2 linked regions of the Tamandua tetradactyla genome follow. The protein of the gene in region 1 binds, or shares a complex with, the protein of each later gene. Links are inferred from orthologs where the notes say so. Each region holds a gene or a part of one and is shown on either strand. Other genes may lie near its edges.

Evidence for each region. Proteins that work in one complex are often made in the same cells at the same time.
Region 2: the proteins of ATP6V1A (region 1) and ATP6V1D are in contact, whole or in part, in a cryo-EM structure (PDB 9B8P), measured with the Rattus norvegicus proteins. The link is inferred for Tamandua tetradactyla from reciprocal best matches to the Homo sapiens genes ATP6V1A and ATP6V1D. Residues at the interface, in NP_001101788.1 of Rattus norvegicus: Ala366, Met368, Pro369, Ala370, Asp371, Ser372, Asp416, Ser418, Asp436, Lys438, Glu491, Gln494, Leu495, Val496; in NP_955418.1 of Rattus norvegicus: Lys4, Asp5, Arg6, Arg167, Ala171, Val175, Ile176, Arg179, Tyr186, Glu190, Arg194, Glu197, Tyr200, Arg201, Lys204, Ile205, Lys208.

The regions. Positions count from the first base shown.
Region 1 is NC_135336.1:32,902,183-32,912,521, reverse strand, and holds the start of ATP6V1A (V-type proton ATPase catalytic subunit A), read left to right. Parts: upstream 1-5,760; 5' UTR 5,761-5,887; exon of another isoform or gene 5,888-5,901; intron 5,902-10,339. Other genes in the region: NAA50 (N-alpha-acetyltransferase 50), read right to left, coding at 4,744-4,751. UniProt on the Homo sapiens protein: Catalytic subunit of the V1 complex of vacuolar(H+)-ATPase (V-ATPase), a multisubunit enzyme composed of a peripheral complex (V1) that hydrolyzes ATP and a membrane integral complex (V0) that translocates protons.
Region 2 is NC_135338.1:24,873,265-24,883,288, reverse strand, and holds the start of ATP6V1D (V-type proton ATPase subunit D), read left to right. Parts: upstream 1-5,622; 5' UTR 5,623-5,909; coding exon 5,910-5,950; intron 5,951-5,972; exon of another isoform or gene 5,973-6,039; intron 6,040-7,282; exon of another isoform or gene 7,283-7,363; intron 7,364-10,024. Other genes in the region: EIF2S1 (eukaryotic translation initiation factor 2 subunit 1), read right to left, coding at 664-904. UniProt on the Homo sapiens protein: Subunit of the V1 complex of vacuolar(H+)-ATPase (V-ATPase), a multisubunit enzyme composed of a peripheral complex (V1) that hydrolyzes ATP and a membrane integral complex (V0) that translocates protons.

The DNA of each region.
Region 1 (10,339 bases):
GAAAAAGAAGATCCACATATCCAAGTCATTCCATACTTAAAAACTGTCCAATAACAGACTGTATAAGTTTAAAATTTTTAATTAAATTTTAAAATTCTATTCCTCAGTCATACAACTCACAATTCAGTTACCCAACAGCCACTTTAACTAGCCACTACTATATTGGACACCACAGACCTAACACTTTGCCAATAAATTAGATACTGAATGAATGTAAATAGGAAATGATGGAGGAAGAAATATAAAGAGAAAGCTAGTTTGGGTGACGGCACAACAATGTAATTTTGTAGCTATTAAACTACAATCCAACAATTATTAATTCCTCGATGGAAAGGAAGTTCCTATTAGTTAACTACTGGTGTTCTATTGGTTATTGTGAGGTTGTTAAAAAAAAAAAAAGTTGAAGGACAAACATCTGAATAATTGAGAAAGCGTATCTCTTCAGATGGTACAAAGCTGAAAGTCCTAGTTGATGTTTGGAAGACAAAACCAGGAGACAAAATGACTTCCACAGTCCAAAATAGAGGATGTAGCAAAATGAAGTTATCAGTTGAAAACTAATAGATATCAGTTGAAAGACAATGGTTGAAATCTGCATAAGCCTCAGGAAGGGATTTTCGTTGAAAGTACAGTTAATATACAACAGTGTAAAATTAATTTGACCATAAATTGCAATAACAGGCATATACTATTCAGAACAATGATGACAACAGTCCCACCTCCCCATTCTACTAATCATATCTGGAGTGACATTCACATAACAGCAGTTTGAAAGTTTGAGAAACAGGGCATATTATCTTGAAGTGATAGAAGAATGCTTTGTCTTCTGGAAGATCTTTAAAAGACAATCTTAAAAAAAAAAAATCTCCCAACCCAGAAATTATTGATTATTCTTTGTTTTTTTTCCAAAACGTTACCATGGTTGACTACAAGTGGAGGACGGATTATTAAAAAAAAAAAAAAAAGAAAATCACACCCCTGTTGGCAACAGAGCTTGAGCCACCAATGCATATACTTGTTGGTATCTGATATCACTTCCTAAATTATAAAATTATTCTATTTACAGAGAAATATGAAATCTGATATTCTTATATCCTATGGTGTAGTTGTAGCTGACCATTTATATAATGAAATAAATATTTCATTACAATTTACTTTCCTTTTTATTTCTCCTTTATATTAAAGTTATAGGGAATTACACTGATTTAAAAAAAAAAACTTGCAGTACAGGTATATTCACCTCAATATAGCAAAGGGGACACTAAAGAGTATTTGTTAAAATCATCATCTCAAATAGCATCTCACAAGTTACTGGTTTCCCAGAAGTGAGGATCATGAATCACAGGTTTACAAAAGCTGACTCTTACTTTAGTCTGAAGGGCTTTAAAAAAAAAATTGCTTTGCTGGCAAAAACAGCAATAAAACGTTAAGAAAAAAAAGAAAAAGAAGCTGTCTAATAAATAAAATATTAAGAAAAAAGAAGCTGTTTAATAAGTTAAAAAAGTATAAGTTATACAGTAAAGGGTATAAATTGTGTGTACAATGCAACAGCTTTCTTTTTTTTTAATATATGTATACAACTATGTAATCAACATCCAGAAAAACACAGACTATTTCTAGCATCTCAGAATCTGACTCTCTTGTGTCCCCTCCCAGCCATAGTTGGAGGTAACCATTATTTTGAATTCTTCAACATAGTTTCTGACCAAGATTCTTATACTTTAATTTTATTTTCTAGTAGCATTTGCTGAAAATGACTTTTAGTGTTTTAATTAGTAAACTACATTGTTGCACATACTACATATTATTGGTGTCTACTCTCTACTTTCCCATCTTTACCTTGATCACGCATTTTTTTAAGTACATTTTTATGAGATCTAATTTATACCCCTTTTCTACAACTGAAGAGTAAATGGATTCACTTCTGCTTTCTATTATATTGACTAGTTAACTGCCACCTCAGTCATGGATGTCTATGGCATACCTTCTTGCTTGAGTTTCACCTTCCCTGGAGAGGAGTATAATTAAAATAATCAGCTTGCCATCCACAAATTCAAAATATAATGTCCCTTATTCATAAAAACAAGCAACCTCAGTACAAAGAAAGCATCATTCTTGTAACAGATCTCAAACACTGGACCTTTAAATACATGCAATAATTAATAATAGGAAATTCTCTACTATGGAGAAAGGCAAATATGTATGTTAACACAATGGAGTATTTTCTTCCTGGTAATAATGAAAACTAGGTAGATATATGAAGAAAAATGAGATAAATTCAAAAAGTTTAAAATGATAGATATGGAATATAAACAAACAACATAAAATATTTAAACTATACAGAATCAGGAGTTCTTCATTGTTTCAGATTTTAGGTATTCTATCCAACTTACTGTTCTGTTAGCTCAACATACAATAAAAACTTAGCAAATAAAATTCCATACAAAACCTACAGAGTAACTGACAACAAATCAAGAGTCAGGACTATAACACTGATTGCCTTCTGCTTGGTGATTTAAGTCTCTGAACTCAATGATGTTAAAATCTTGTAAACAATGTATACTGTCTTCTTGTGTTCAAACCTTAAATACAGACTTAGAAGCAAAATTTTTTTTTAAAGTACCATCTTACCTGTACTTCAGTTCATCTGGGAAGTTAAAGTGACTATTTCTGGAAAATCATAATTAAGGTTTACAGTTAAGAACACATTTCTAAGCTCCCAATCATGAGAAGTGCTAGGATCTAGACTTAAGGAATCTTCATTCCAGGGATGGTTGCTGGCTGGCATGAAGTACAAATTCAATAGCTGTGTTGCCTTAGGTTTCCTCTAAGTTTGGCTAATTACTCATTTCTGGGGCTCTGTCCCATCAAGTTAGTAACCTCTTACACGTAAATATTCATTTAAATAAAAAGACAGTTGCTTCATGGATATATTAAATGAATGTAGTACCTGAATAATACCACTATATAGCTCCATCTGTATAGCCATGTTAGGTATTACACATATTTCTTCCTAATTACACTGATCTAGACCAAAAAATTTGGAAACACCCAGAATAATTTCTTAGAGTCCCCCTTCTATAAATCTGTAGCAGCCTCATACTGGAAACTCTTCAGTTTCCTTTTTATTACTTGAAGAGAACAAGACAAGTTTGTACTGAGAGCCTGGCAATGAGAATACAGAAACAAGAGCCGACAACCATATTCAAGGAATGCAGTCTTACCAGGATTAAAAAAAAAAAAACACTCCCAAATTATGCTGGATCATGCCACATTTCCTAGATCATGATTTGAATGCAGCAAACACTTTTTAAGCCCCTCAATTAGTTTCCTTACTGGACTGATAGGATATAATGCAGGGACTGTGAACATTTCTTCATAATATCCTTAATTTCAAAGACTTTTTAATACAAAATGTACAATTTAACATTAGAAATAATTTCCTGTACTTAAAGGAAAATCATTGTAAGAAAACATATTACAGACCTAAGAACAAAAAACTTTCTTGGAACCTCTTCTTTAACACACACACACATATATAAACACACACTAGACAGTCTGAGATTACTTAAGCTTATCTTTATTTCATCTTCGAAAGGGCTGTTTGAAAGACTTCACTAACTCAAAAAGTTACTTATTTAACTGACTAAAGAGAAAAAACCGTAGGCACCTTAAAACCTTTTCATATTTATAAATTTTCAGGGCGGGCCACGGTGGCTCAGCAGGCAAGAATGCTCGCCTGCCATGCCAGAGAACCTGGGTTCGATTACCGGTGCCTGCCTATGCAAAAAAAAAAAAAATTTTTTTTTCATTTCTTTTTCTAAGGAGGGTAGAGAAGACAAGCTACAAAACTAACTCAGGCAATGATTTAAAATATAGCCTTATATAATTCTTATTTAAGAGTTATATTTAATACTAAGGAGACATTCTATCAACTGGAAACAGTCAAATCAAAATAGTCCCTAATTTTAACTAGAAGGGAAACAAAAACTTTGCAAAGCGTCTGAAAAAAGCATCAGATGAACACCCTAAGACCCCACTCAGCAGTCAGGGGCAACAGTAAACTACTGAAGCAATAGCTCCACCTACCGATCAACAACACTTCCTTAAACGTTTTGGCACCCCAGGACTACAGCGCTCGAGCTTTCTCCCCTCCCCCACCCGCTCTGACCCAACCCAAATCTAGTTGAGTCACTAGCCCTTAATACTCATACCCATGCTCTTTATTCTAATCCTCCCCCTCCCCCCCTCCAGAAGGTTCTGCACGGTTCCTAAGTGTGAATCAAACTGCACGGTGTGAAAGACAGCAGTTCCAGTGTTAATCCTCATCTGGAGAAGAGGACAAATTGACTACTCCACCTGGAGTGGCGGGCGGACACTGATCGGTGGCTCAGGCCGTCCATTCCGGGTAGGAGGCCACAGACGCCTCACAATAGCTTTTCCCTGCTGCCCCACTCATTCGCTACCTCCGTTCAGCCTACATTTATCCTTTGGGCCAAAATCCTCGGGTTTCCCGAGTCTTACCTCCGCTGGTCCTTCAGCCCGCCAACAACCCGAGCCCCGCCTCCGCCCCCTCCGTGAGTGGAGTGATCAGAGAAGCCCAGCAATCACCCTCTGCCCGGCACTTCACGACAGCCCTGTCTTCTCTCAGAGTCTCTCCTCTCTTTCGCTGCCTCCCTCCCTCTACCCGGGCTCAGGGTTTCTCCCCTGCCAACCAGGCCCAGCCCAGTTGCCCTTCCTCACCCTTTCATCTTCTCCGCCTGCTGAGGCCGTCGTTACCACTGATATCAACGCCGTCGTCGCCGCCGCCTTGAGCTCTTCGCGCCCTCAGCTCGGGCCACTCAACCCCAGAAGCCAGTCTACTCTCCTGGGGCAGGGAACTAAAGCGGGTGTCGGAGGCCGCAAGAATCAAGCGCGGCCCTGTGCCTCCAGAGGGGGCGGAGATGTCTCCTGCCGCCGCGTTGGTGCCGCCGCTTCTCCACACGTGCACACGGGGCGCTCGGCTCCAGCCCGCCGCCGCGCCGCCAGCCAGACCCGCCGCGGCGCCGTGACCTTTCACCCCACCCCCTCTACGCGCCGGCGCGTCCGCCGTTTCGCGCGCGCAGCCGCACTACTTCCCTTCGTGCGCCCTTCCCCCTCCAGTACGGGGCCTTCATTTTACTGGGTTTGGCGTTCTAGCATTCTCTTTTTCCTACTCCTTAACACTAATTGTGGGGCCTCGGTGGTAGAATCCATTTTTTCCACTCATCCTTTTTTCTCTCCCCTGTTAACAATATCAACCGTCGCCCACCCTTTCTTCCTAATTGGTAGTATCCAGAATGACCTTCAAATGCTTCTGTTTCCTAATAGGATTTTATTGAAACCAGTTCTTCGAAAATGTAAATAAGTCTGTGAAAAACTTAAATAAAAGTAGGTGGATTTGACACAAACGCAATTAACTGGCGGGTTTACTCGACTTTCCTCCACATGCCTCCAGCTTTAAGATGACGTGATTGGTCCAAACCTTACAGCCTGGGATTTTGCTGGTGCGCCGCAAGGGAACTCTATCGCCATTTCCGGTCACTAGATTATGGCTTGGACGTCACTTCCTTAGCATGTACCTTAACCCTTGTCGTGTACGCTTCCTACGTTACACTTCATGACACAAACTTTGTATAAATGTTTACGCTTCTTCTTTAATCACAAACAGAAAAATTTAATGCGCAAACGATCCACAAAAATAGAGCCTTCTCAGATGAAGTGCGCGCGGATGGAGGCGGCGGGGAGGAGCTCTAGGTCACGTGCTGTCTAGACCCGCCCCCTCTGCAGCTGAAGACTTCCCCGCCCGCGGTGACAGAGCTCCTGCGTCCGTGGTCCTTACTGGTCTCTGCACCTCGCGCCACAGCAGGTGAACGGCGACCGGTAATCGGCGACTGGTGGGGATAGTAGAAGGGGTTGGTGGGCGATGTGGGGGAGTGCGATAGGCGGCCGTCGCTGCCGGGGCCTTCATCTCCATTGTCACCCTGCACCAGAAAGGCGCTCATTTTTCTAGTACTACTGAGCCCTGCTCCCTACTTTGGCCGCCCCCGCTACCTGGGGGTTGGAATGTCCACTCTTTCCAGGGTTGGGGGTACGTGCGGCCATTGTGGTTTCCCATTGGAAGTCCTTGGGACTTCGACAAGTGGTATTGCTTCAGCTAGTCCTCGGGGTCTGCAACAGCCGCCCGGTCTCATTCCCTAAAGCCCATTCTTTGGCAGAATACCTGCGCCGCCTTTCCCCCAACTCGGGGCTGAGTAGCGAGGAAGTAGGAAAAAAACCTGGAGGAAGAAGTGTCTGTGGTGAGATAGGCTTGGTAGAGAATGTCACTGATATGGATGACCCTCTCTGCGGAGTCACCGAAGAGCTTGCTTGCGAACGTGCTTTCTCAGTAATTATAAGGTTTTTATCTGACATCCCTGCCGTAGGGGCTCTGTAGGTGTCCACATGCTTTGGGTGGTTCTGGAAAGGTTTTTAAAAACAAGGTTGAACCTTTCACCTCAGATTTTATGGTGAAAAGAGGGAGGGAGGACTGTTAAAAGAGTGGATATATGCTAGCTTGAAAACAGGGGTGATGGTAATGCGACAGTGTCAGTTGAATGAAGAGGCGTTGGAAGATTGTTGCAACGTCGCGTACTGGAAGAGGTTCAGGCTAGCCTATGGAAAAGTGACTAGATTTTTCTGAAAGGAAAGTAATTCTTCAGAAACTGATCGGGCTGAAAATGGAATATAATTAAGTTTACTTGACCATAAATTTAAGATAAGATTAAGTTAGGATATTGCTGACTCCATGTTTTCTGGTTTTGGACGTCCTTATCTATATACCTTCTTACATAAAGCTATTTCTCCCTAAAATCCTACCTAAATGCTACTTCCTGTCAAATCCTTGACCAGTTTTAAGTAGCGCTTTGCAGCCCTCCTTAGCTCTCTCCATTTGTGAAATACCAGGTGACTTCTACATATTTTAATGAATAGTGTTTTGTGAAAATACAAAAATTGTTTTGCCTAGGTCTTGCCCAATAGTTAATGTTTTGCCCCCAACACTATTATTGCTCAAGGGAAGAGGCTTTTTCAGTTTGTATTGCAAACTCAGAAAGTTCTTTAGTTCTTTTACATCCAAAAGCCTCACAGATATTACAGATTTAATTTGCACTTTTTTGTAATCCGAAAAATCATGTTCTCAGTTAAGTCTCGTTAAACCAATGTAAATGAATAGTCCATTCAAAAGACAGTTGTCAAAGAGGAGGATGGTATCATTATCACTGGGATGTGACCCAATTACTCATTTTTGTATTTCTGTGTCTCCCAAATTTTGTACAATAAACTTGTTTTGTTAAGGAGAACAAAAAGTTAATTAAAATTTTGAAATAAAAACAATTTTAAAATAGTTTTATATTAAGTTAGTAATAGAAAAACTGTCCTATTGATGCTCCTTACAGAAAACATAACTTTAAAGGTCTTTCTTACTTGCTTTTTGCTCTAGTAATGAAGAAGACCAGAATTGTCCCCTTTGGATGTACAGTTTTGGCATTTTGTACTTAGATCCACAATAGTATTAATCTTTTGATAATTTATGTAGCTATGCCTGCTGCAGATATATAGTATTATCAATGAATTTGCTCCAGTGTGAGGCTTTCCTGATCTCTGTAGGACAGAAAAAAAAAAAAAAGAGCAGTATTGCTTCATTGCCCTGGGTGACATTCAGCCAAATAAGGAGAATTGCTTAAGTTCTGTGGAAGGTCCAAACCAGTCCTGGCTGGCTATGACCAAAGTAGAAAAGAAAAAACAGCTAAAAGCTTAGAGTACTAAAGGAAAACATCAATATGAAAGAGGTTGAATGAGTCTGCAATTTTACTTCACAATTCCCCCAATTTTAGGGAATTTATGACAGCAATAATTTAGATCACTGATGAAATCTGTGAGATTAGCAGCAGGAATTGGTAACTGAATTGCAGCTAAAGATGAGTGGTGAAAAGAGCTTTGACAGAATTATTCTCTCTCTCTCTCTCTCTCTCTCTCTCTCTCACACACACAAACACACACACACACGCACACAAAGTGATTTGAAGCTTGGAAGACATTTCTGAGACCAGCTTTATCAGTTTGAGTGTTACATGCAGAAATCTTAATGTTCATTAGGAAATTCAGTGGCTCCACAATTCAGTATTAAATGGTACCTAAGGTTTTTGCGTTAGGGTCCCTGACACTCTTCTGCTCTTCCTTTGAGGTTTTTCTTGTATTTCACTGCCTTTACAGATTGCTGTTCATACCAAGAATGCTCTTCCTTCTTCCCACCGGCAGAGCTAGTCACTTAGTCCTATAAACTATTATGCAATACTTTCAATTTATTTTAACTTTTAATACACTGTATTTAATTACTGTTTGCGGGCAGGCAACAGTGACTCTGACAGAATTCTCGCCTGCCGTGCCAGAGACCCGGGTTCGATTCCCAGAGCCTGCCCATGTCAAATAAATAAAAAATAAAAATAGAATTGATTATTAATTACTGTTTGCTAGACTGTTCCTCACTAAAGCTCCTAGGAGTTCAAGTACAGAGTCATTACTGCTGTTGTGTTTTAGCATCAGAGTGCTGAAGTACTAATAGGTATTGAATAAATTATTGACTATAGAGTATTTGGCAATTAGACAAGAAAATTAAATAACTTTAGCTCTTGCTGATCATATCGCCACCTAAGGTTATGCACTAGGTACCAGATATAATTGCTAATAATAAGCATCCAAATCTTTGTCAGTAGAATAGACATAAGCCTTAAATGAACTTATGATTAATTCAGTGATCATTGTAATTCTTTTCACAACAAATGTTTATAAAAGGTTTGGTTATCATCCAAATATGGGAGGGAAAGGAAGAGGAATAAGTTGTACTAACTGGAAAAAGTGTTTCTGCATGTGCTACAAATGGTATAGCATTATACTAAAATCATAAGGTCTTCAATCATGCCACTTTAGTTATATGTCCTTTTAAGTAAAGTTAGGATTGGAGAGCTAGGGTTTGATATTTAAGAACCTACCTCTCAAAGTTATTGTGCATTCAGGTGAGATAAGCCCTAGGTGATCTATATGAAAATAATTTTAAAATAACGTGGTATGTAAATGTAAAGCAATATAGTGCAGACTTTACGAGAATAGATTTTCCAATCAGAGCTGGGTTCAAATTCTGGCCCTAACAACTTATTAGATGTATGACCTTGGACAGTTTATTTAACCTAAGATTAAGTTTTCTCCTGGGTAAAATCTCCATAGGTGCTATTAAATAAGATCGTGAATATAGAGTGCTAGTACATGTTTTGTTAATTTTTTTTTATTATTAACTTTACTGATACCTACCATATATTATGTATTTATGTATGTATGTATTTATGTATTGTTATAGTGTATGGTGGGGGTTACATTTCATTGTTTTTCCTTGTGACTATCCCATTATTGCAGCACCATTTGTTGAAAAAAAATTTTTTTGGAGGGGTAGGGGGTAAATGCATGGGCCAGGAATCAAACCAAGATCTCCCACATGGCAGGCGAGAATTCTACCACTGAACTGCCCTTGTACCCCCTACTTCTATATTTTTGTACTGAATTTCTTAGGCACGCAAGACAGCCTAAAAAGTGAGTAGTGCCTCTTTTTGAGCACCAGGTTTGGGATATGAAGGAGATGGTAGAATTTAAAATTAGACTATTCAGAAAAATATGTATATATGTATATACTTCTAGCAGAGACTCTGAAACAGCTCTATTGGTTGGAGCTAAAACATATCAATATAAGGTCCATTATTTTAGCGACTGCAGTAACTTAATATTTTCTCTGCTGGTGACCATTAATATGTAGAATCAATTTAAGGAAGCAGTTCTTCTATTCCTAAATTTTTGTCTATACAGTGAATTATAGAAAAATATTAAAATTGTACAGACCTAAACATTTTGTACACACACCTGTTCGTTTTGTACAGACCTGCACGTTTTTTAATGAATGCCTATATTAAAAGTTAAAAGTGTTGTCTTTAAACTTTCATATCTTTTTTTTAATATGAAATAGACTAGAAGTAAGCAGCACATAATGGAAAAATGAATTATAACAAATTTTTCCCTCTTTAAAGTGGTGACTCACAGATTAGTGTTGGAAAATATCAGTAAATCAAATAATAATTGAAGTATAGCTGTCATGACTTTATGTTTCAAACCTTAATCCTGAAAAAAGTTAATTGCAAATTTGTTATAAGGAAAGATTTTATTGTGAGTATAATAAATAAATAAATAAATGAATCTTTAATGTCAAGTTCTCTATTATAAAGGAATAATTTATGGCTAA
Region 2 (10,024 bases), on another chromosome or scaffold:
CAGCACTATCTGAAAGAGTCATACAGGATCTGGGAGACACAGATACTCTAATTAGAGAGATATATAATACTGGGTTTGAGATAAGGGGGTGAGCTTTCTCAAAGGTTATATAAAATATTCCAACAACTGTTTTTAAAAATCAAGGCACCTTGGCACCATTTCTTGCTCACCCAGTAATCTGAAACTAATTTAGCTTTAAATCAACATACCAATGTATATTAATGAACTAGTACTCTAGTTTACTTATCTGTCCCTTCTGAGTTTGGCCAACATGAGTTAATTACCAAGGTCCTGATAATTTGTTGGGATAAAACTAAAGTTTTTTGACCCACAAAGCTAGCACCTGAATGAATGAATTAAACCATAGTAAACTGAATCTTGGTTAGATGGCTAACTGGCATCCTTCTCTAAAAACTTTGTATGTAAAAGAGTTTAAGTATAAAAGTTCTATTTTTTAAAATAAAAGTGGTTAAATTGACAAAAAAATTTTTAAATCAATTTCTTTCTTTTTTTTTTAACATGGGCAGGTACCGGGAATCGAACCTGGGACCTCTGGCATGGCAGGTGAGAACTCTGCCTGCTGAGCCACCGTGGCCCACCCTAAATCAATTTCTTTTTAACACCAGAAATTGGAATTATATTTTGGATATTTTTCTCACTTACCTTTTTCTTTGTCCACTCTAATGACAACCACGCATTCATTCCTTCCAATTCGGATGAGTTTGTTTATAGATCGAATGCGCCTTCTGGACAACTCACTAAGAAGAATCATGCCTTCAATGTTGTTGTATTCCAGCAAGCTGACATAAGCCCCCATTTCAGCAATGGATCTTACATTCACCATCACTACATCTTCCACCTCAGGAAACTTGTGTTGATAAAATCTACAACTTAAACCTGGCATTCTGCAATTTAAACAAAATAATCAAATAAGTTATCTATTATAGTCAAAATAAAGAAAAATTAATTTTCTACATCTTGCCCCTGAAAGAAAACAAAGATAAAGGAAAATATAGCTTACTAGTCTTTTCACATTTTTAAACTTCTTTCTGGTACCAGAAAACAGATAGATGTTCAAATACAGAATTCAGAAAACCATTATCAGTTTTGTACAATCTTAGAATAAAGATCAGATGGTTAGTAGAAGGGAGGTTACACTGAATAAACATCCAATAGGTCTTGACAGGAACCAAGCCTTAATTTTTATTTTGCTCCACATTTATGTGAGGCTTGCGTGATTCTCTGCCATCAGTTTCAGAGGAATCATAAAAACTAATGACCATCTATAAAGTATTCTGAGACCTAAGAATCAAAGGTACACCTCAAAGGTAAAATACTATTTTAATAACAACACTTTAAGGAATGCCAAATGATGGGAAGCATCACTACTATTTCAAGCCTATCAGCAAAACTAAAGCTACTCTTAACCAAGTCAGCTAAGACTGTACATGCTACCACCCCCACACTATGAAGGGAGGAAATGTTCTGATTACCTAAACGTTGGCACTAATCAATAAGGGAAGAAAATCCTATCATTTCTCATTGCCAAAATTACAGTATCATTCGTCAAGGATATAAAAACAAAAAAAACATGTCAATCACAAAAGATATTAAACTTAACTAAAATGCATCCTCTCAATTTTCTTTTAAAATGAGCTTGAGTTTAATTCACAAGTACCATACTTTCTAGCTTTTACTTTCCATATTATTTCCAAATTACTTTTTTTGTTGTTGACTAGGCATATCTATTCTTGAGAACAGCCTTACAGATTTCCATTACTATAAAGCTCAAGCTTCTCTCAACCTCCAAGCATTAAATATATTTAAAACTATTCCCTTTGATCCACCCAAGCTACTTGCAGTACCACACCTTTTTTCTACAAGTGGTTCTCAAATTTACTTGGTAGAGCACCTGGAAGTTATTCTTCAGCTAACATGAAATACCTCATATTACTTCCATTGATATGACTCACAATCCTGAAATCATACCCTTGGTCGATGTGTATTTTTAAAAAGGAAGGGCTCAAACTAATCATGGCTGATTATCTTCATGCTCTTCTGTTAACCTTAAGAACTATTTAGTGTTGTCAGAGTTCAGAAGATAAGGAATAACAGGACCTAAAGATATAAGGAAAATTTGTGAAAAATTACTTAGCAACTTATTTTTTTCTTGTAAGTTGGGAAATCTTACTGACAGATCTTACTGACAGAGCCTCCACATCCAGCTCATGAAACACTAGAGTTCTGCTGCAATGTTAAATGGCACACACATATCTTCCCGGTGGGGCCTAGTAACTTACACACATTGTTACTACCTACAGGGTCCTCTATATAATCTGGTCACTGTTTATCTCTCCAAGGTACCACTCCCCCCCTAGTTTTCCGTATTTTATAGATGAAGAAACTGAAGTACAGTTTAAGCAACTTGTCCCTTCATACTACTGTTGACTGATAGGGCCAAAATTTGAACCCAGTTTCGATCCAGAATCTGCCCTTATCCACCCAGCTATTCTTTTCAGTATTATCAACAAAAAGATTACAATTAGAAACATCTAACTTAAACAAAAAGCAACTAACATACATATGTGACTCTGAAACATATACCACAGATTGGTGCACACTATTAGTACTAACCTATCCTGTTTAACAACAGCCAAAAAAGCAGCATATAAGTAACAGTGGCAGAGATGTATTTCTTTTGTAGCAGCCTACAAAAGGGATCTAGCAAATGACAGAAACTAGACAGTCAATGGCCAGAATTATCCACCAAGATACAGCTGAGCTAGTTGTTTTGTTTTTAAACAGGGTGTTTTTTGGGAGAGAGGCAGAGGACGAACAATTGCTGTCAGACAGACGTCTATAAATAAAGTGCTCAAATTTGAGAGCCAAAAAGTTTCAAATTGTATGTCAAAATAAATGTAATGGAAATGCATGACAGTTCTAAAAGATTTAACAGGTGTTAACCACATTTACCCATCAACTTTCTTCAAATATCAAAGTTGGTAATTTTGGGGAAGCAAGGCTTAAGTTTATGGCTAAAGAACACAGGCAATATTGTGAAAGAATCCTGAAGGGAGCGATGAGTGATACTTCTTTAGGAAGTAAGATCCTTTGTAATACCTGGGCTAAAAGGATGATTTCTGTATGTTATTAACATTAAAGAAAAAAGTAGCTAGTAAGAAATAATTAACTTCATAAAGAAACTACATTTTAATTGAGAGATTTGAATACATCTACTTATGAAATACTAATAATTACACTAATTTTTTTTAACAGTCAGGAAACCAGAAACCACACTAGGTATCCATTCAGTCCTTTATCATTTTCAAGGCACTATGATTAAAGAATATTTTGTCTTCAACAACAAGCCTCAAGCCAGGCAAGCAGTACAGTGAACTTTGGAAACAGCCTTGAGTTCCAGTGCTTGGGTCCTAGCTATTAGCTGTGGTTGCTTGAGAAAGGTACCCTCTTTGAACTCCAATTTTCTTGTTTGTGCCACATATCTGACAGGTTTGTTAAGGGTTAAACAAGATCAAATATATGCGAAAACATCTTGAAAACTGTAAAGTTCTACAAAACATAAGATATTAAAAGGCAAAGGAGGTCTTAATTCCATTTTATAATTTAATACATTAAACCATATCTACTATGTACTGTTGATACAAGAAAAGATCCTACCTAAGGAATTAAGCATAAAGTGGGAAACAAACTAGTAAGCAAATTAAATACAAAATAAGGTGTTCTGAAAGGAGCACAGTATAGCACTCGATTAACAGGGAACCCAGGAATGGAAATATTAAATGACTTTCTCAAGGACAACTGTTTAACAAGTGGATGTGCAGCAGCTAAACCTAAGTCTTCTGACATCAAATCTAGAGCATCATCCACTTTCAAAATGTATTAACTGAACTATACGCTAATTTCAGATTCCTGCATTGTCAATAAATTTTGCCTGCTCATGTAATAGGTTAGAAGTTCTTTCTTAAACCAGTCATAACTCACCACAATAAAAGCAGGAAGTCCATCTTTTCCAAATTAAAGCTTACTGCATAACAACAACACCACTGATAATTTTAATTTAGCTCTTACCAGTTGTGTTTTCTGAATGCTAGATTTTAGTATATGAATACTACACAAAACAAACTTTTTCGCTGTAGTTGAGGTATCATCAAGATTGCAAACGTTACTGTGGATCAGGCAGCCAAAACTTTTGACAATCACGATTGTGTCTTGGCAAAAAAAGAACTGAGAACAAGCACCAAAGTTATGTATAAGTAATGCCCAAACTTCTGAAAAACAATTTTTTTTCTTGAATAACAATTCAGTCGGGAAAAAATGTCAAGATTTCTGTTACACATTTTCTCCAAGAAACAATGTTTCCTGTTAAATGAAAATTAAAACAGCATAAGTTAATTGAAGGGATGTAAGGCTGAGTAAGTATTTAACCCTCAAGTACTCCTATCTTATGCTTTTATATTCCCACAGTGTGTAATTCTACAGTTCTAGTCGTATCATCGCCAAAATGTGGTAAACTGACACTAAGAGTAACAGACCTCAGTAATAGGATTTAGTTTCAATTCAAGGGATAACGCCTGCTACAGAAACATACAACTAGAGCGATAGGGTAATTAAACTTCGATTTTTAAAAACAAATTATCAAATGAATAAACTATTCTCGGACCTTCGTTACCTCAGGTCATTTCCACACGGTGGCCGTTCTCACTGATTCGATCTGGACACTTCTGCCTTCATCAAGAGGCAGGAAAAATTTTGGTAGTATTACTGGGGAGGAAGGAAAAAGGGATGGAATTCTCAGGCCCGGAAAAAAACAAAGCACTCAGCGTCCTGGAGCTGGGAGGTGTCAGAGCGTCCTCTCCAAGCCGCCCCACCTTAAGTCATCCTCACTTTAAACCCACTGAAGAGGGTGTACTGTTTAACTTGTCATCACCAGATTTCCTCGCACGTACAGTGATGCCTCTGGAATCTGAAAGACCGACACCGAGCCGGCAAGGAGGCTTGCTACACATCCGGGGGACGGTGGCGGTGTCCAAATACTTCCCGCGCACGGACGGGAAAGGGAGGGGGTGTTAGCCCGGGGCCTACCCTCTTTCGACCACCCAGGTCACAGGACACAAACCAAAGTGAGTTCTTGGAGAAACCGAGCTGGGGCACCAGTCACCTGAGGAATGTGTCCGAATTCCGTACTGGGGTCCCGCGCCGCGATCTGTAACCGGGTAGATGAAACCTGTTCCACCCGCACCAGCCACCGATCCGCACCAACCACCGATCCGCCTCAGCGTGCGCTTTGCTCGACCCCACCGCGCATGCGGAACCACCTCGTACCACGCAAGCGCTAACAGAGTAGAGGCCCTACATCACTGATCATAGAGTCGAGGTCCTCCGAGAACTAGGAAGAATGAGGGTCACAGCAGGATTTGAATAGTATTCGTTCTCGTTATCTTTATTGTTCCCTGAGAAATCTTTAAGGCGCGCGCGAGAGGTAGGACTGTGACTCCTTGTCCCTGAAGAATGAATCCTTTATCAAAGTTTTCGTCAACCACGTGGTGGCGCTGTGGACAAAGACGGAAAGTGGAAGAAGACAAGGAGTGTTCTCTTCCCTTTAGGCCGGCGCACGCAGCGCCAGGCGCAGCCATCGGACTACAGGCGAACCGGAATCCAGTGACAGTTCGCGGAGCCAGAGCTTCAACATCCGGGCATTACCTCCTTCCCAGCCCTCCTCCTCCTATGCCGACAGGAAGCGGAAGTGAAGAGTGCATATCCCGCTGCCTCTTAGCAACGGGAGGGGTTTCGTGACCCAACCCCCTGACTCCGGTAGTGGCGTGCGAGGACTGGAACTATTGCAGCCACGATTGCCCGGCGGGGACCAGAGCCGTACAGTCATCGTCAGAATGTCGGGCAAAGACCGAATTGAGATCTTTCCCTCGCGAATGTAAGTAAGAGAATGTGTCGCGTGACACCCGTAGGTTCAGGAACGCCTGCCCGGAATGCGGTACCTCCATATTCTGAACCAGCAGCTAGGTACCTTGTTTCTTGAGTCCCTCTTGAACTGCCCTCAGCTTCTTACTTCGTGGTCTGTGGTGAACGCTCCCGAAGAGCGCCCACACCCAGTCCTCTTGAATGTTACAGATCGGACAGAATGATTCAGGTTATAGGAACAGGCGCCCTGACTTTTGTGAAAAGTCACCCATTTCACGAAACATTGCTATGTGCCAGGCCCTGAGACGGGCATTGGATTTATATGACTGAATCTTCGCATTCCTGTCCTCACAGAGCTTACAGTTTAGTGGTGAGGAAGACAAACAAATGAGATTTGGTAAATTATCTGAAAAGGGAAGTTTACTGGAGTGGAGAAGGGGCATGTAAACCAAATTAGCGATAGAATCGAATCACTCTTGTATGGACGTCAGAGATCTTGAATCGTCCTATTCATTTTCCAAAACTCCACCTGCCCTGAAAAGACATCCTGTGTTTCTGAGGCACGCCATCACCACTACACCTTGTTCAGACCTCCGTTGCCTGATGAAGTGATATTTGTTTACATACATTTCTCTCCCGCTAGAATGTTAGCACTCCAGGTTGAAAGTGTCTTCAATATTTACACATTTAGAAAGTACACAAAAAATGTTGCTTGAACAAATTTTTGCCTTGGAGTCTGCTTAGCCGTAGGATACGATTTCTTTGGGTCCGAACTCTTTGGCAGAAGAAAGAACTGTACCCCAGGTTTTTGGCCAGTTTGAAAATTTTTCTCAAATCCCCTTAACAGATTGTGGAGTTGCAGAGAGTAAAAATGTTCTTATTTGTGTTGTCCTCCACCTTCTCTCCTTTTTTTCAGTGAGGAGGCAGAAAATCAGATTTGCCTCTGGCATTAGATTGTTTGATTGTCGTCCTACATAGAATCTGAGAATACAATTAAACAGTTATATTCAAACTCAAAGGCCCATCTCTGCTAGGTTGGCTACAGCTCTTAATAAAATGAATGCTTTCTTTACCTTCACCTGTTGGCTTTCTCTTAGCTGTATGTATTAGATAGAAGCAAACTAATTGTGTAGAAGGGCAATAGATGTGAAAATAGATAAGAATGTTAACATTTCTTGCTTTTATTTTGGAACTTTTACTTTGTTTGGGATTTAGAGGTGAGAAAAATGTGAAAGCAAAAATTGCAGTTTGAGAGTACTTGAGAGTAGGTAGCTTGCTGCCTGAGAGGAAAATCAGATGCAGGAAGTAATTCCTTCTCTAAATATTTTCCTATGGCCTGACAAAGGTGCTTTGTCATGGAATCATATGTCTTTGATTCATCTGGAAAGAAAGTCATCATCCTGAAGGTCAAATATTTTTTGTAGGGGTAAGTAGCTCTGAAACTTGTAAAAGAAAAAATTTTTAAGACCTGGGCTAGAACATATACTGATGATTACTGTTATACAGACAGTTCAAATACTGTAAGGATAAGACAAAATTATTTTGTTAAATGTTGCTTAGGCGCACTTATGCACAAGAGAAATCAAAACAAGTTTAGAGTAAAAGCAAAAGAGGCATGAAGGATTTGGAGTCAACAGAGGTCTGTCAAATCCAGGTTCTATTATTACATATTAGCTATAAGCCCCCTTGGGTTAAGAGTGTATGTCATTTTTAGAGTCTCAATAAATGAAATTTGTTCATGTCACAGAGATGCCGTTACCTAGGAGGAAATAAAAATCAGCGTGGAGAACTTAATCTATTCACCTTCATACTGTGAACTTCATGGAATCTTCAGTACTAGGGTTTGACTTAAATTTGATCCAGGTCTTTGAGCCCAAATTCTGGCATTTAGTGTAAACAATACGGTGTGTTTCATGTACACATTCCTGCTCATGCTGGAAGCTCAACCTGCTTTAGTTGGCTAGACTTCTGATGAGGACAGTCGGTGCAAAGTCAACTACTGATAGCTCTTTCAAACAGAGCTATCATCTGATGCTACTTGTAATCTTTACTGGGAGGCAGCATGTCGTATGGTTAGGTACTAGGTTTGTCCCTTACTTTGAGCCTTGGGCAGATCACTAGAGACAGAAATCTGTGATTCAAGTTCCTGCCCTGCTTTTTCTTCTCTGAGTAACTGTGGGAAAGTGCTCCACTTCTCTGAGCCTCATTTTCTTGATCTTTAATATAATATTTGAAGTCCCTTTCGGCTACAAAATTGTGACAGTAACTTTAACTCTATTGCAGAAGAATTTCAGTATAATCTGAGAATTTAGCCTCAAGGTATAATAATTGCTATTTTGCATTGATTAATACCACCAGTGATATGAAATTATGTCCCCTTTTACAAATCACTATAAGTGCCTTGGTCATCCAATCTGCTGTTAAATTTTATTGTATAAACATTTTTATTTCATCATTAAATTATATCTAGCATAGAATAGAAATGTCAATTTCTGCTGTTACTTTCTTGACTATGGTATTGGTTTCTGATGGGAAAATATTAAAATGAGTTTAGCAGACTTCAGTATAAGTTTAATTTGCCACTGCTCGGGAGTCATATATGCCATTTGTTACGTAGAGTCATTTACAGATTAATAAAATGATTAGTATTTGTGTTTTTTCAATATGAACTTTTTTATCACATAGTTGTATATTCATCATCATGAACATTTCTTAGAACATTTGCATCAATTCAGAAAAAGAAATAAAAAGAAAACAAAGAAAAATTCATGCATACCATACCCCTTGCCCCCTCCCTTTCATTGATCACTAGCATTTCAATCTACTAAATTTATTTTAACATTTGTTCCCCCTATTATTCATCTTTATTCCATATGTTTTACTCATATGTTGATAAGGTAGATAAAAGGAGCATCAGACACAAGGTTTTCACAATCATGTAGTCACATTGCGAAAGCTGTGTCATTATATAATCATCTTCAAGAAACATGGCTATTGGAACACAGCTCTACATTTTCAGGCAGTTCCCTCCAGCGTCTCTGTTAAGCCTTAACTAAAAAGGTGGTATCTATTTAATGTGTAGGAATAAACTCCAGGATAACCTCTTAACTCTGTTTGGAATCTCTCAGCCATTGACACTTTATTTTGTCTCATTTCTCAATTCCCCCTTTCAGCGGAGAATGTTTTCTCAATCCCTTGGTGCTGAGTCCCAGCTCATTCTAGGATTTCTGTCCCACATTGCCAGGAAAGTCCACGCTCCTGGGAGTCATGTCCCATGTAGAGAGGGAGGGCTGTGAGTTTGCTTGTCATCTTGCCTGAGAGAGAGAAGCCACATCTGAGCAACAAAAGAGGTTCTCTTGAGGGAGAAAGAGAAAGGTCTAATTTTAAGTAGGCTCAGCCTGTCCTTTGCAAGGGTTAAGTTTCACATGAACAAACCCCAAGATTGGGGGCTCAGCCTATTGCTTTGATTGTCCCCACTGCTTATGAGAATATCAAGAATTCTCCGCTTGGGGAAATTGAATTTTCCCCCTTTCTCACCATTCCCACAAGGAGACTTTGCAAATACCTTTTTATTCACTGTTCAAATCTTTCTGGGATTTACTGAGGCATCACTCTAGACAAACCTACAGAATCTCATGCCCTATTCAAGATTCCATGTACTTACTGTGTTCAGTTAAACTGACCATACAAGTTAAATTAGGAAATGCACTACCCAACATATAAACTTGGCATCAAATAAACATCATCTCTCCCTTTAGTCTCACACAGAAGTTGAAGTTTTAAAATATGGATGATATCATCCTTTACCCAGTCTTCTGATATACTTTAGTCCTATGCAGATAAGCTTCATTCATATCTCTGTTTGATGGCTGATCACTTTTTCAATTTTTTAAACAGTTACTGTATGGGATACTATTGACTTTCATAGCTTCAGAGCTCTAACTCTAAATCTCAGGTGTCACATAAATACCCGAAGTTTGTGGGAAAGACCATGTTATATACAAACAACTCAGTATCTGAGAATTTAGAATTAGCAATTACACTTCCTGAAAATATATGACTGTTGTAAGAGTTTACAATCTAGGAC